Ovis aries: one gene and its partners. The protein of the gene in region 3 purifies or fractionates together with the protein of the main gene of each other region. This does not show direct contact. Links are inferred from orthologs where the notes say so. Each region holds a gene or a part of one and is shown on either strand. Other genes may lie near its edges.

Region 1 (4,058 bases), on a different chromosome or scaffold from region 3:
AATGACTCGGAGTGATCTGTTCAACAGATATTTATTAAGTACCTACTATATGTAAATGGTTGTACTAGATAGTAGGGAAGCATGGTGAATGCCAAAGTCACCAGTTTTACAGGTAAGAGAAAGAAATAGGCAATGAGTAACTAAATACACAAAGAGATAGCATGACAAATGCAATGGCCAGGCTGCTGAGCTGGACTTCCAGGGGGCGTGCAGTCCACAAGATGGGCCAGGACGTTCTCTCAGGAGAGGTGACATTTAACTGTGACTGGAGGGTGAGAAGGAGCCAGACAGAGGAGCGAAAATTTAGGAAATGACTTTCCAGGCAGAAGGACCAGCCTGTGCCAAGGGCCCGAGTACAAGATATAGAGTATTCCAAAGTCCTGAGTGGCTGCAAGAAAATCAGAAGGAAGAGAGCCTGACTGATTCCCTAAAGGCCAAGGCTAAGAGGAAGAGCTGAGATGCCATGGAGAAGTTCACAATAGCTGATGCTTACTGAGTCCTACATGCCGGGGACACCACAAACTTCTTTGCCTGTACCTACCTAGTTAATCCTCACAAACTTGGGAGAGCCATGGCGTTAAGGAAGACACTGCCAGGCTGGAACAAGTCAAACTTACCAGGATCAACTATCAGAAAAAGAAATGCCAAGGTGGGCTCCTAGCTCCACAACACAGCTGCCCAAACCCTGGTTTGGCATGTCTTGGCAGGTCTGGAATATGAAACCAGGAAGCTGTGCGAAGAGCACTGGGATAACCAGGGTCTACCCTCAGTTCCCTGGGCAGTCCTGCTGAAATATGTCAAACAGAAACAAACAGAATCCCTTCCACAGGGTGGTCAGGAAGCCCTCTTAAGATATGACATTTTTGAGCAGGGGCAAAAAGGACAGAGAACACAGAGGCCAGGGCAGCTCTGAGTTTCCTCTTCATCAGATACGCTGTATTTGGAGACGATCATCCTCTCCAGCCCTGATGGGGAGGATTGGAAGGACTGATGATGAAGCTAAAGCTTCAATCCTTTGGCCACCTGATGCAAAGAGCTGACTCAATGGAAAAGACCCTGATGCTAGGAAAGACTGAGGGCAGGAGAAGGGGACAATAGAGCATGAGATGGTTGGATGGCAGCGGCTCAACAGACATGAGTTTGAGCAACCTCCGGGAGATGGTGAAGGACTGGGGAGCCTGGCCTGCTGCAGTCCATGGGGTCGCAAAGAGTCCAACATGACTGAGAGACTGAACACCAACAAACCTCTCCAGCCCCAATCAAACCCACACTAACTCCACTTCCCTTCTGCCACTGAGTCAGAGATGAGTTCATCAAAATTCCGAACCACAGGAGGATCTAGGAGGCAGGAGAATGACCTTTGGAGGAGGGTCCTTTAACAGTGACAAAACTGAATCATCAGAGATTTTCTCATAAAAGCATCCATTTCCACGGTGTCTTTTTTTCTTCACTTTTCCATCACTGCAGATGGTGATTGCAGCCATGAAACTAAAAGACGCGTACTCCTTGGAAGGAAAGTTATGACCAACCTAGATAGCATATTCAAAAGCAGAGACATTACTTTGCCAACAAAGGTCCGTCTAGTCAAGGTTATGGTTCTTCCAAGGTTATGGTCATGTATGGATGTGAGAGTTGGACTATAAAGAAAGTTGAGTGCTTAAGAACTGATGCTTTTCAACTGTGTTGTTGGAGAAGATTCTTAACAGTCCCTTGGACTTCAAGGAGATCCAACCAGTCCATCCTAAAGGAAATCAGTCCTGAATATTCATTGGAAGGACTGATATTGAAGCTGAAACTCCAATACTTTGGCCACCTGATGAGAAGAGCTGACTCATTTGAAAAGACTCTGATGTTGGGAAAGATTGAGGGCAGGAAGAGAAGGGGACGACAGAGGATGATATGGTTGGATGGCATCATCGACTCAGTGGACATGGGTTTGGGTGGATTCCGGGAGTTGGTGATGGACAGGGAGGCCTGGCGTACTGTGGTTCATGGGGTTGCAAAGAGTCGGACACGACTGAGCGACTGGACTGAACTGAACCATGGGTTTTTAGTCAAATTGCATTAATAAATTCCTGATACAATAAACGAACAAAATTGAGGGATTTGGTTTTATCCATTTTTAAAGGGAAAGTATTAATAACTGGGCAGCGGGACCCTCAGGCTGGACTCTAGGGTCCACAGGGGACGCACCTCAACCTGTACACCAACATTGGGAGGCAGAGAGGGAAGGATGTTGTAACCCCTCACTCAGCTCTAGGCAGGGTCAAGAACACGGGTTATGTTATGCGACCCCCTCAGGGGAGGACCCTCCAATTATCCGAGCCTCAGCTTCCGCATCCGTGAAGGGGGTTCATAACGCACCTGTTCAGGTGCTCGCTAAGAGAGTTAACAAGGAGGAAGTAACTGTCAGGTAAGATCCGCAGAGGCCTTCACAGGCCCAGGGCAGCCGACCTCCCGGAGAACTACCCTCAAAGATGAGATTCGGGGGTGGGACACACGGAGGGGAGCGTGCACGCCCAGCCCGCGGACATGCGAGACCACGCCCGCCCGTCCGCACTGCGCCTGCGCCGGCCTCGACTCGCGTGGCCACCCCGAGCCTGAGGCGCCCGGCACTTCCCACAGGCCCGGCAAGGACAGGCAGCCGCCCGCATGGACCGAGCGGGGCAAAACGAGCGGCCGCAGCCTCCAGGCGTCGAGCTCCCCACCCCACCCCCGGCTTGCTCACCTGCATTTTCTGTCAAATCGCTGGGGCCCTGCCGGCCACAGCCACCCGGCCCGTGAGCTCTCTACCGCGCACGCGCGCAGGCGCCACTCGCCTCCTCTCCCAGCCTGCCCTTCGCCCCGCCCTCCGGGAGAGGATAGGGCGGGGCCAGGGGAGGCGAGTTCTCCTCTGAGGCTGCGCCGGGGCAAGAGGCTGGACACGCCCACTCGCGTGACTCCGAGCTAATCCCGGCCGCTGCTCAACTGAACCTTATTAGGGCACATCTTCGGCCGCCGAATGGTGGGACAGAATCGGGGAGGTCCCCGGCAGCTAGGTGTCATCTCCAGGCACGGATCCGATGGTTTCGGAGGTCTCGGCCCAAGAAGTCAGAGATAGAAACCCGTTTCACTGATTCGTTGTTAAGATTCAAAAGGAGGCAGGATTACCTGGAATTCAGTCACTGTCCTTGAAGGACATAAAGCAGTTCGCCTACTACGTACTAAACACTATTCTAGGCTCTGCGGACGCGGCGGGAATCGCAACAAACGAAACCAGAAACGTGGACATCTCTTCACCTGGTTGAGCCTCAGGCGTTTCCTATTCGCAAGAGGACTTAGCCCTTTGCGGAGCGCAAGGGAGGCACTGAGTAGAAATATGCAAGTCTAAATTGAAAAATACAGGGGCTTCTGAAAAATACAGCCCTTCAGGCTTCTGTGTATGCAGCACTCCGAATTTGAGTTAAAGCAATGCCCCTCCCTGGACACCTGAGCTCGGTGGTGAAGTAGCAGACACAGAGAACGCAGCCAACACGTATGTAGAGTAGGCGGTTCAACTTCGGCTACATTAGAAGCACCTGTGGTTCGCTCAGTCTTGTCCCGCTCTTTGCAACCCCATGGACTGTAGCAGGCCAGGCTTCCCTGTCCTTCACTATCTGTGAGCCTTCTAAAACTGCCGCTACCCTGCGGTCCCATCCCCACATTACATTTCTAGCCATGGGACCTGGAACTGATGTTTTCTTTTTAAAATTTTTATTGGAGTATAGTTCATTTATAATGTTGTTTGCTTTCTGCTATAAAGCAAAGTGAATCAGTTACACATATATTCACTGTTTATAGATTATTTTCCCATATGAGCCACTACAGAGTATTAGTAGAGGTCCCCGTGCTGTATATTAGGTCCTTATTTGTTATCTGTTTTATACATGACATGACATTTTAGTCACTAAGCTGTGTCTGACTCTTTTGCAACGCCATGGACTGGAGCCTACCAGGATCCTCTGTCCATGGGATTTCTCAGGCAAGAATACTGCTTCACTATCTGCCATTTTCTTCTCCAGGGGATCTTCCTGACCCCT
Region 2 (4,036 bases), on a different chromosome or scaffold from region 3:
AGTTCTGTGAGCCATTCTGGCAAAACATCAGACCAGGGAGTGGGTTATGGGAACTCTGATTTATAGCTGGCGGGTCAGAAACCCAGGAGGCAGGGGCAGTCCTGTGGGGCCCTAATCCTAACCCTGAACCACTGGGGTTTGCACCAGGTAGGTGCGTTAGGGTTGAACTGAAGCATAGGGACACGCAGCTGGTGTCAGATTTCCAGAACTGTTCTGTGTAGCGAAAACACACACATTTCGTGTCAGAGAGTGGGTTAGAAATAGTGTGGTTTTACTTGTAGGTTTCATCTGGGACTGGGGCTGGGCAGGGAGTGCCCCATAGAGGCTGAACAGAGGGGAAACATGTGAGTGGGTGGGGAAGGGGGTTTTCTGTCAGTCTGTGCTTTGCCCCTGCCTGAGTTACAGAGCTGCTGGATGCACCTGGGTGAGGCTGTGTCTTCCATCTCTTACCAGGAGGGTGGAACCAGGCTCCCAGAGTTGGGACCCTACACCTTGCCCTCCACCCCATAAAGAGGTCTATTTCATGCACCCATAGGACCACACCATGCTGCAGGCAAACAAGCCCCCTCCTACCCACACCAGACCCAGGAGAACCCACAGAGACCCAGAAAAGCATGCCAAGGCAGGCTCCCTCAAGGCACTCCCAGCTCACCCTCACTTCTTCCCACCCACCAGAAAGACCCTAGGCTTTGCCGATTAATTCTAATATTCTGATGGACAGAACCCAAGATTCCATCAACCTTAGAATCTCCAGGTCCCTCTTGTCCTCTTAGAAAACATCTGGGTGCATGGGTGGTTCTGTGATAAAATTCTCACCTCCCCTTTAGAAACCATCAGAAAATCTTAAGGTCAGTCTCAGGATCTGGGGGTTAATCTCGGGCACATGGAGCCAATTTCAGAACCTTCAGGTATGACTCAGAACCCTGAGATCACTCTCAGACATAGAAGACAGTCTCAGAACCTTGGATCATTAGCATTAATCTTAGAACCTTCAAAACGGCATCAGAACCTAGGGGTTCCATCTCAGACCCTAAGGATCCATCTCCGGATGTCAGACACATTGGGCTGAAAGGGACCTCTAAGACTATCTGTTTGTCCCCTTCTTAGGACAGAAGTCCCTCCCCAGGCTCCGTGACCTGGCTGTTGGCCTCTACTACAAGGAAGCTGGCCCTTATCTGCTGCCCACATCTCTCCTGGACAAAATCTCCAGAAATTCATTTTCAAGGCTGAAATCTGGCCCCTAGTCCCAGAGATTTCAGGATAAGATGTCTGCTCCCTGGGCCTGTGACTGCTGGAGATCTGGGTCCCTCTCACAGCTTCCAGATCCCCCTCCTCCCACTGGACACCCTTACCCTCAACACAGTTACCTGCTTATGCATTTCGATGTTGAGCCCGTAGGACATTTCATAGTACTGCAAAGGAAAGGCCGTCTGGCAGTGTCCATCATAGCCACGGATGTCCAGCTGCACTGGGTGACTGGGTCTTCCAACAGCCCCCAGACTCAGGGGATCACAGCAGGACCCAGAGCCTCCCAGATCCTTGGGGGCCCAGAAAGGGGGCCCAGAAAGGGAGCCCAGAAAGGGAGCCCAGAGGAGAAAGCAAGACTCTCCTCCCTCCATTCTCTCCAGGGGGGTGGGGTCACCTCAGCCCCTCAGAGATGCCCAGGAGGAGAGGAGGTATCCTTGATTTATTGTTCCAAGAGCTGGCAGACAGCCTGGAACCCCAAGCAGCCTATTTTACAGATGAGGGAAACTGAGGCCCACAGCCGGCTGGGGACATGTCCTAGAGCAGTACTGGAGTTGGGGTTCATGCCCATCATGTTTCAACTCACAGACAAGCCATCTTCCCCACTGCCTCCCACCCAGTATGACAACCCCCTCACCATGACATAATGTCGCTGCATTTCTGTCTTCTCACTGGCCAACTTCTCACACTCCAGCTTGAGGCTGGGAAGGGGACGGAACATTGGGATTCCATCCTCCTTGCCCCCCAGCAGAGACACCCACGGACCCCTTCTGGGCCAGCTTCCACAGTGATGAGATTGGCTCTCCCCACCTCCACACACCCACCCCCAACTCCCGCTCCCAGGCCGGCCCCATCCTTTCCCAGGCTCCAAGTGTCCCAGCACTGGACAGGCTGTCCTCCTCACCTTCGCTTCTACCTGGAAGCCCTCCTCTCCGCCCTGGGGTCCCTCCGTCCTCCCAGCACGCTGGTGACCCCGCCCCTCTGCCCCAGGCGAGCCTCTGGGGAGGGGCGCCCCGGTCCCCAACCCCTTACCTGTGGTACTGAGCCTGAAGAAACTGGAATTCTTCTTTGATGCGGTCGCAGATCTCCAAGATCGAGAACTTGAAGGGCTGGCCGGACTGAAGCGGGGTCTTGAGGGGGGACGCCCAGGTCTGAGTTCCAGGACGCCCGGCGCCCCCAACCTCCCCGCAGCCTGGGCCCCCACTCACCGGGTGCCTTCCCTGGGGGTACATCCTGCCGATCCGGGAGGCCCTCCGCCACGACTCCGGAGCTTGACGATCTGGGGGGGCCAGGAGAAGGCGGGGTGGGGGAGAGGCTGGGGTGGGGGGTCTGCCCGAGAAAGAAGGGGCAGCGGCGTGGGGCAGGGGACCCTGGAGTTCCCCCGCCCCCCGAGTGAGCGCGCGGTGTCGCGGGGACCAAGGGGCGCCGAGGCCCCCGCCGGGCGTGGGGCGCGCGACCGGCGCAGAAGGTCGGGCGAGCGGCGGCCGGTTTCGGAGGCGCGGGCGGCGGGCCCCGCGCGGAGCCGCCTCCCTCCGGCGGGGCTCGGCCGGGAGCCGCGGGCAGAGCCGCCTTAAGGTGGCGCCGCCGCCCCCGGCCCGCCCACCCGGCCCGCCTGCCCCTCGCGCTGCGGCCCCGGGACCACCCCCTCCCTTCCACCCGGGACCAGTAGGGAAACTGAGGCTACCGTCCAGCCCCGCAAACGTCGCCACTCCCCACTCTCCCGAGGACCCAAGAGAGAAAAACCAGTTAAACACCTAGTGACCCACTGTGAGGGTAGCTTGGGGCGGGGAAGACAGGAGGGGGCCTGAAATGGTCTTTCTGAGGAAATGGGCTTAGACTTAAGGATGGGGAAAACAGCCTGCCAAGCGCTGGCTGGAGAACCTGCCTGCAGGGACAGAGTCTAACCTGCAAAATCATCAGAGAAGGGTTGAGCTTGCGGGCAGAGCCAGGCCCCTCCACCCTCACTGGGCCTCGGTATTCGGTATTCCCACCTGTAAAATGGTCAAAGCAGGGGTTATTTTCCGACTACACACACAGGAACAGCCCTTAGCCTGCTCTGGAACGGAGTAAACTTCCAGAGATGGGAGTTGGGTTCCCATGGCCACACCAGTGGACCTGGCTGTCTCCGCTCTCAGACCATGAGCTCCTAGAAAACAGAGGTCCCACTGACGACAAATACGGATTTCTGCCATCAGACTGAGATCTCTCTCAAGGTGGGACTCCATCTCCCATTGCAGACTGCACATATCCAGTGAGGTGGGAGGTAGGACATTCTTATTCCCATTTTGCTCATGAGAAACTTCAGGGTCGTTTGTTAAGTCAATCAACAAACGTGTGGAGAGCCTAGTGTGGACCAGACACTGCTCCAGGCCCAGGAGTTCAACAGGGAACCAAACAGAGAAAACCCCTGGCCTTGTGTTAATATCTGCACCCGTGTCTGTAGATGAGCAAGCAGAAGCATACAAAAGCCCTGTTGAATTTATTGAGCACCTATGACATACCAGGCCTCCTTCTAGGCAGACGGAATACAGGATGGATGGAGAACAGATTTCTTGCCTTCTCTGAGATCAGTGGATAAAACAAGATTGTAGCTAGAAAATCATGAAAGTGTGTGTGTGTACAAAGAGGCTTTAGGGGGGCAATTATGGAGATTAGAGGGAATCTACTTATTTGGGGTGTCTGAGAGAAACCTCTTGGAGGAGGTTGACGCATGAAGGCTAAAGATGGGGAGTCATGGGAAGGAGGAAGGAAGATTCTAAAGATAAAGGATAAAGATACATGTGTGTGTTGT
Region 3 (4,080 bases):
AATAGTCAGAAAAAGAAATGCATCATCACTCAAACCCCTCTCCAGACACCAAAGAAAATCCAGTGAAGAAACAAAAATTTGCTATCCATTCCTTGAAATAACTTTGTAAGAACTCAAAACATACTACCTATTCTTAAAGCCACAGCTCAATGGCTTCCCCTGCCTGCACACCTATTATTTCTTTCCTGCCAATTTCATATTTTTTCAATCAACTTAAATTATATTGACATGTACAAAGACTAAAATTATTTACTTGAAAGTGTGTTTTGCTTATTCCATAAATTTGTATCAATTAATTCAGTTGATGGGAAGCAAGAGAGAATTTTTCTCCCTTAAATTATGTCATTTTACTTAAGAGAACTATTCCACAGCTGTAACAATGGTACTACCTCAAAGGTGAAAGCACCATAACTTTTCTATCCTCTCAATAGGACAAAAAGTAACATTTTGATTACAACTTTTCTAAAAAGATCCAAACTGCTGATTAAAGATTAGGAAAACTGTACAGGAGTTACTGAACTGTGAAATGATTTTCAACACTACAGTGTATTATGGCTAAAATTCTCAATTTACATATAATATCCTCAAACAAGTTTCAAAGAACTACTACACAAAATTATATTATAGTACTGTATTTTTTTTTAAACATGAATTTAGAAATTACCATTTGGTCCATATGCTGTACGAGTTGTTTGGGCCAGCTCTTTGCAAGCCTGTATGTTCCTGTACACAGCCTCTTCTAATCCTGAAAAATGCTGTAGAAGAAAATTTCTGATTAGGCAGGACAATGAATCTCAATAATTTCTTCATCTGTAAAATAATAGTACCTGTCTCAAAAGACTGTTGACATTATCAAATGAGATTTATGTATGTAAAGCATGGTGTTTGGTGTTCCTATGATACCAGATACCATCCTAATTCACAGATTTGTCCACAAGTTGAATGAATAAGGCATGACATTTTTAGGGACCATGAGTACCTACTTACACATCAAAACATAAAGCTTAATTTTTTTTAGTTTAGTGAAAAGTGCAGAGAAGAGTGCTAAGCCTGATTAGAGAAAGCATATGAACCATTGCAGATTATAAAAATACCTTTCCAGAGTCTACCAATTCTTTCTAAAAGCCGAAATGTGGTATGAATGTGATAAAACCTGAGCACTGTAGAGTCAACAGGTCTATGTTCAAAGGGAATTAACATATTTGCCTTATACATTTTTAGAACTAAAGCATACAGATTTTGAATTCTCATTTGAACTGAAACAAACTGTTCGTTTGTACACATTAATTCCAACGTGTATACACTGAAAACTGAACTGCTCACAGTACTCAAATTTTCAAGTTTTACAATGAACTTCTTTTAGACATGGGATTTACTTGTGAGTCTCAGATAAATTTCAAGAGCCTACTGTTCATGTGAACATCTTTTTTCTTACTGTTTTAACAAGTCAAACTCACTTCATCCTCAGTGAGTTTGGTCCCTTAGCCTGAAACATTTCTGCCTTTAATCTTGGCCACTAAGCACAGAGCTGAGTTCTTTCCTTAACATTTTATTTACTGTTCTACCCCAAACTTTCCTTTATAATTTTTTTTTAGAGGCGCACTTTCAATTTCCTTTATCATTATTTGAAATTATCCTTCTGCTTATTTGGTCACTTATTTCTGCCTCAGAATAAAAAAAATACGGCCACTTCCCTTTTAAAAAAAAATTAGTTCATGTCATTTTCAGCAAAGCTCTTTCACCAATACTTACAGTAAACCTCCTTACCTACTAGAGTCACGTTATCCCCAAAGTGCATCCTCGCCAACAAGAAACCTAGTTCCCTCAAACTGTTACCACAAATGGAACCACAGTATCTACATTCGTTTAAGCACAGCAAGTCTGGGTGACAATAAGGGAACGCAACTATTTGAACCTAAGAGACACACTTACAGCAGTGTGTCTAAGACATTAAAAAAACAAACAAAAAACCATGCTGTTGAAATTACTTTCAAGATCTCGCCATAAAACAAAAGCTTTACTTAGCTCAGGGTGTCACTTACTCTGTTGGTTACAACTATTTCCGTCCAATCTCCCCAACTGAAAGATGAGGAAAGTAAGACCCAGAGGATTAAGTTTTACCTCAAGCTGGCTAAGTTCAGAACAGAGCCCATTGGGATTGTAACTAAGATTTATCCTATAATGCACTATTTCTGCTAACTAAATGGGGAGCTCGCCGTTTCTCATTTGCAAGAGTTGCCTCGTCCCTCTCCTCCCTGGACCACCCGCTCCTGGAACCGTTTCGCAGTACTCAAAGCAACCTCACCTACGTTATTTCACCTACTTCGCGCCCCTCAAAGGAGAGCCTCCTCACTCCCGTTTTACTGACGGAGGAAAAATGCAAAGAGCGGCCTTCACACCCTGTAAGGCTACAAAGCAAAAAACGCGCCGCCTGCGGCCTCGTCGTCCACTCGCCGTTTCTGGCCGCTTGCCCCCCTCTCCCGGGTTCATTTAAAAAAAAAAACTCGAAATGCCCGGGGCCCTCCGCGGCCAAGCTCTCCAGAGAACACCTCCGTTTCTGGAATCTTCTTTCCCTCCGACCGCTATGTCGGGTGGGCACGCCGGGCCCGTTGGTAGGCTTTTCTTCTTGACTGCGGCCGCCGCGGCTCTCCCACCTCACTCCCTCTTCCTCCTTTTCTTACCTTCGCTCCCTCCTTGAGCATCTGGGCAAAGCCCGGGGCCTTGGGGACGTGGAGGGCCATGACCAGTCTGCAGGGTGCCGTTCACGCGCCCTCTCAGGAGATCCTGGAAGAAACGAGAGGCGCGCACAGCTTCCTGGGAACGTAGCGTGCGGCCGGCTCACGCCCCTCCTTTCTCTTCAGCCGGTCCCGCCCTTTCCCCCGGCGGCCTAGTCTGTGAAGCCTCGCGAGAAGGAGCAGTTAGCGCCGCCAGAACTGAGTTGACGATTCTCGAGCTGGTCGATCGATGGGGTGGCTCGATCGGGCTGGGCCTTCTGTCTTCCTGCCGACGCACGCGTAGGCTGCCTGGCGGATGTGGCTCGCTCCCGGAGGTCGTTCCCTTCGCTTAGACTCATAGGCTCTGTGCTGGGGACTTTTGAATGTTGTCAGTTTTGTCCTTGAGTTTTGCAACTCCTTCCAAGAGTAGCTTCCGTGTAAATCTTCCAGAGCTTCCCACGATATCAGCCAGGTGGGCACCCCTTTTTTCCCGAGGCCGAGGATCTGCCTTCATCCTCCAAATCTGTGGTTGAACTTGCGCTCAGACTTGGGCCCTGTAGCAGCTCTGGGGACTTGAAGGTGATAAATGAAAATCTGAAAGGAAAACTACGTACTGAGTGCTCATATGTGCCAGGCCCCGTTATTTGCTTTATGTGCGGTATCTTAGCTAGTGGTCAATCTTTTATTAATTACTTTGCAATTTACAATTTAGTTTGTACAAGATCACAGCGCTAGTAGTGTTAAAACTAGGATTTCTACCCAGATTAGATTGCAAAATGCACGTTGTTAGGCAACTGTATTCCTCTTTCCTCCTTTTCTTTTTTCTTCTGTTTTTTGGCCGCCCCACAAGCATGTGAGATCTTATTTCCCCCGCCAGGAGTGGAACCCCGCCCCCCTGCAGTGGAAGCATGATGTCTTAACCACTGGAACACCTGGAAAATCCCTTTCCTGCTTTTTCTTGGAAATATAAACCCCTTTTACTTTCCCACAGTCCTTTAAAACCTGACCTCTGTGTCATCCCACATCAGCACATGACTGATTTCAAAAGACTGAATAATGGCAGAATACTTCAAAGAATAATTTCACACAGTGAAAGTAATCCACTCTCCTAGTAGAAAATATAGACAACTGAATAGAACGTTTGGCTTGTCTTTTGTTCCTTGGTCAGACACTTGCAAATGATTTATTTTCCTTAAATCGGGACAGATTTAGTGTGTCTTAAGGAATAATCAAATGTGTTACATGTACTATAACTTTTTCTAATTAGCACTTAAGTGCATAATTATGAAAAAATATTTTTGCGAGGCATCTCTAACCAACTGGTATGTGAACCACCTTTTGGGAAACATTCAGCGATCCTCAAAGG

Evidence for each region. The genes of interacting proteins can lie anywhere in the genome.
Region 1: the proteins of CCT8 (region 3) and PDCL3 purify together in Homo sapiens (affinity purification with mass spectrometry; 3 studies listed by BioGRID and IntAct, with this or other methods). This does not show direct contact. The link is inferred for Ovis aries from reciprocal best matches to the Homo sapiens genes CCT8 and PDCL3.
Region 2: the proteins of CCT8 (region 3) and TLE2 purify together in Homo sapiens (affinity purification with mass spectrometry; 3 studies listed by BioGRID and IntAct, with this or other methods). This does not show direct contact. The link is inferred for Ovis aries from reciprocal best matches to the Homo sapiens genes CCT8 and TLE2.

What each region holds. Positions count from the first base shown.
Region 1 is NC_056056.1:100,879,936-100,883,993, forward strand, and holds the start of PDCL3 (phosducin-like protein 3), read right to left. Parts: upstream 2,801-4,058; 5' UTR 2,735-2,800; coding exon 2,729-2,734; intron 1-2,728. UniProt on the Homo sapiens protein: Acts as a chaperone for the angiogenic VEGF receptor KDR/VEGFR2, increasing its abundance by inhibiting its ubiquitination and degradation.
Region 2 is NC_056058.1:18,546,743-18,550,778, reverse strand, and holds the start of TLE2 (transducin-like enhancer protein 2), read right to left. Parts: upstream 2,801-4,036; 5' UTR 2,478-2,800; coding exon 2,454-2,477; intron 2,376-2,453; coding exon 2,278-2,375; intron 1,947-2,277; coding exon 1,883-1,946; intron 1,413-1,882; coding exon 1,368-1,412; intron 1-1,367.
Region 3 is NC_056054.1:127,698,958-127,703,037, reverse strand, and holds the start of CCT8 (T-complex protein 1 subunit theta), read right to left. Parts: upstream 2,801-4,080; 5' UTR 2,742-2,800; coding exon 2,682-2,741; intron 756-2,681; coding exon 665-755; intron 1-664. UniProt on the Homo sapiens protein: Component of the chaperonin-containing T-complex (TRiC), a molecular chaperone complex that assists the folding of actin, tubulin and other proteins upon ATP hydrolysis.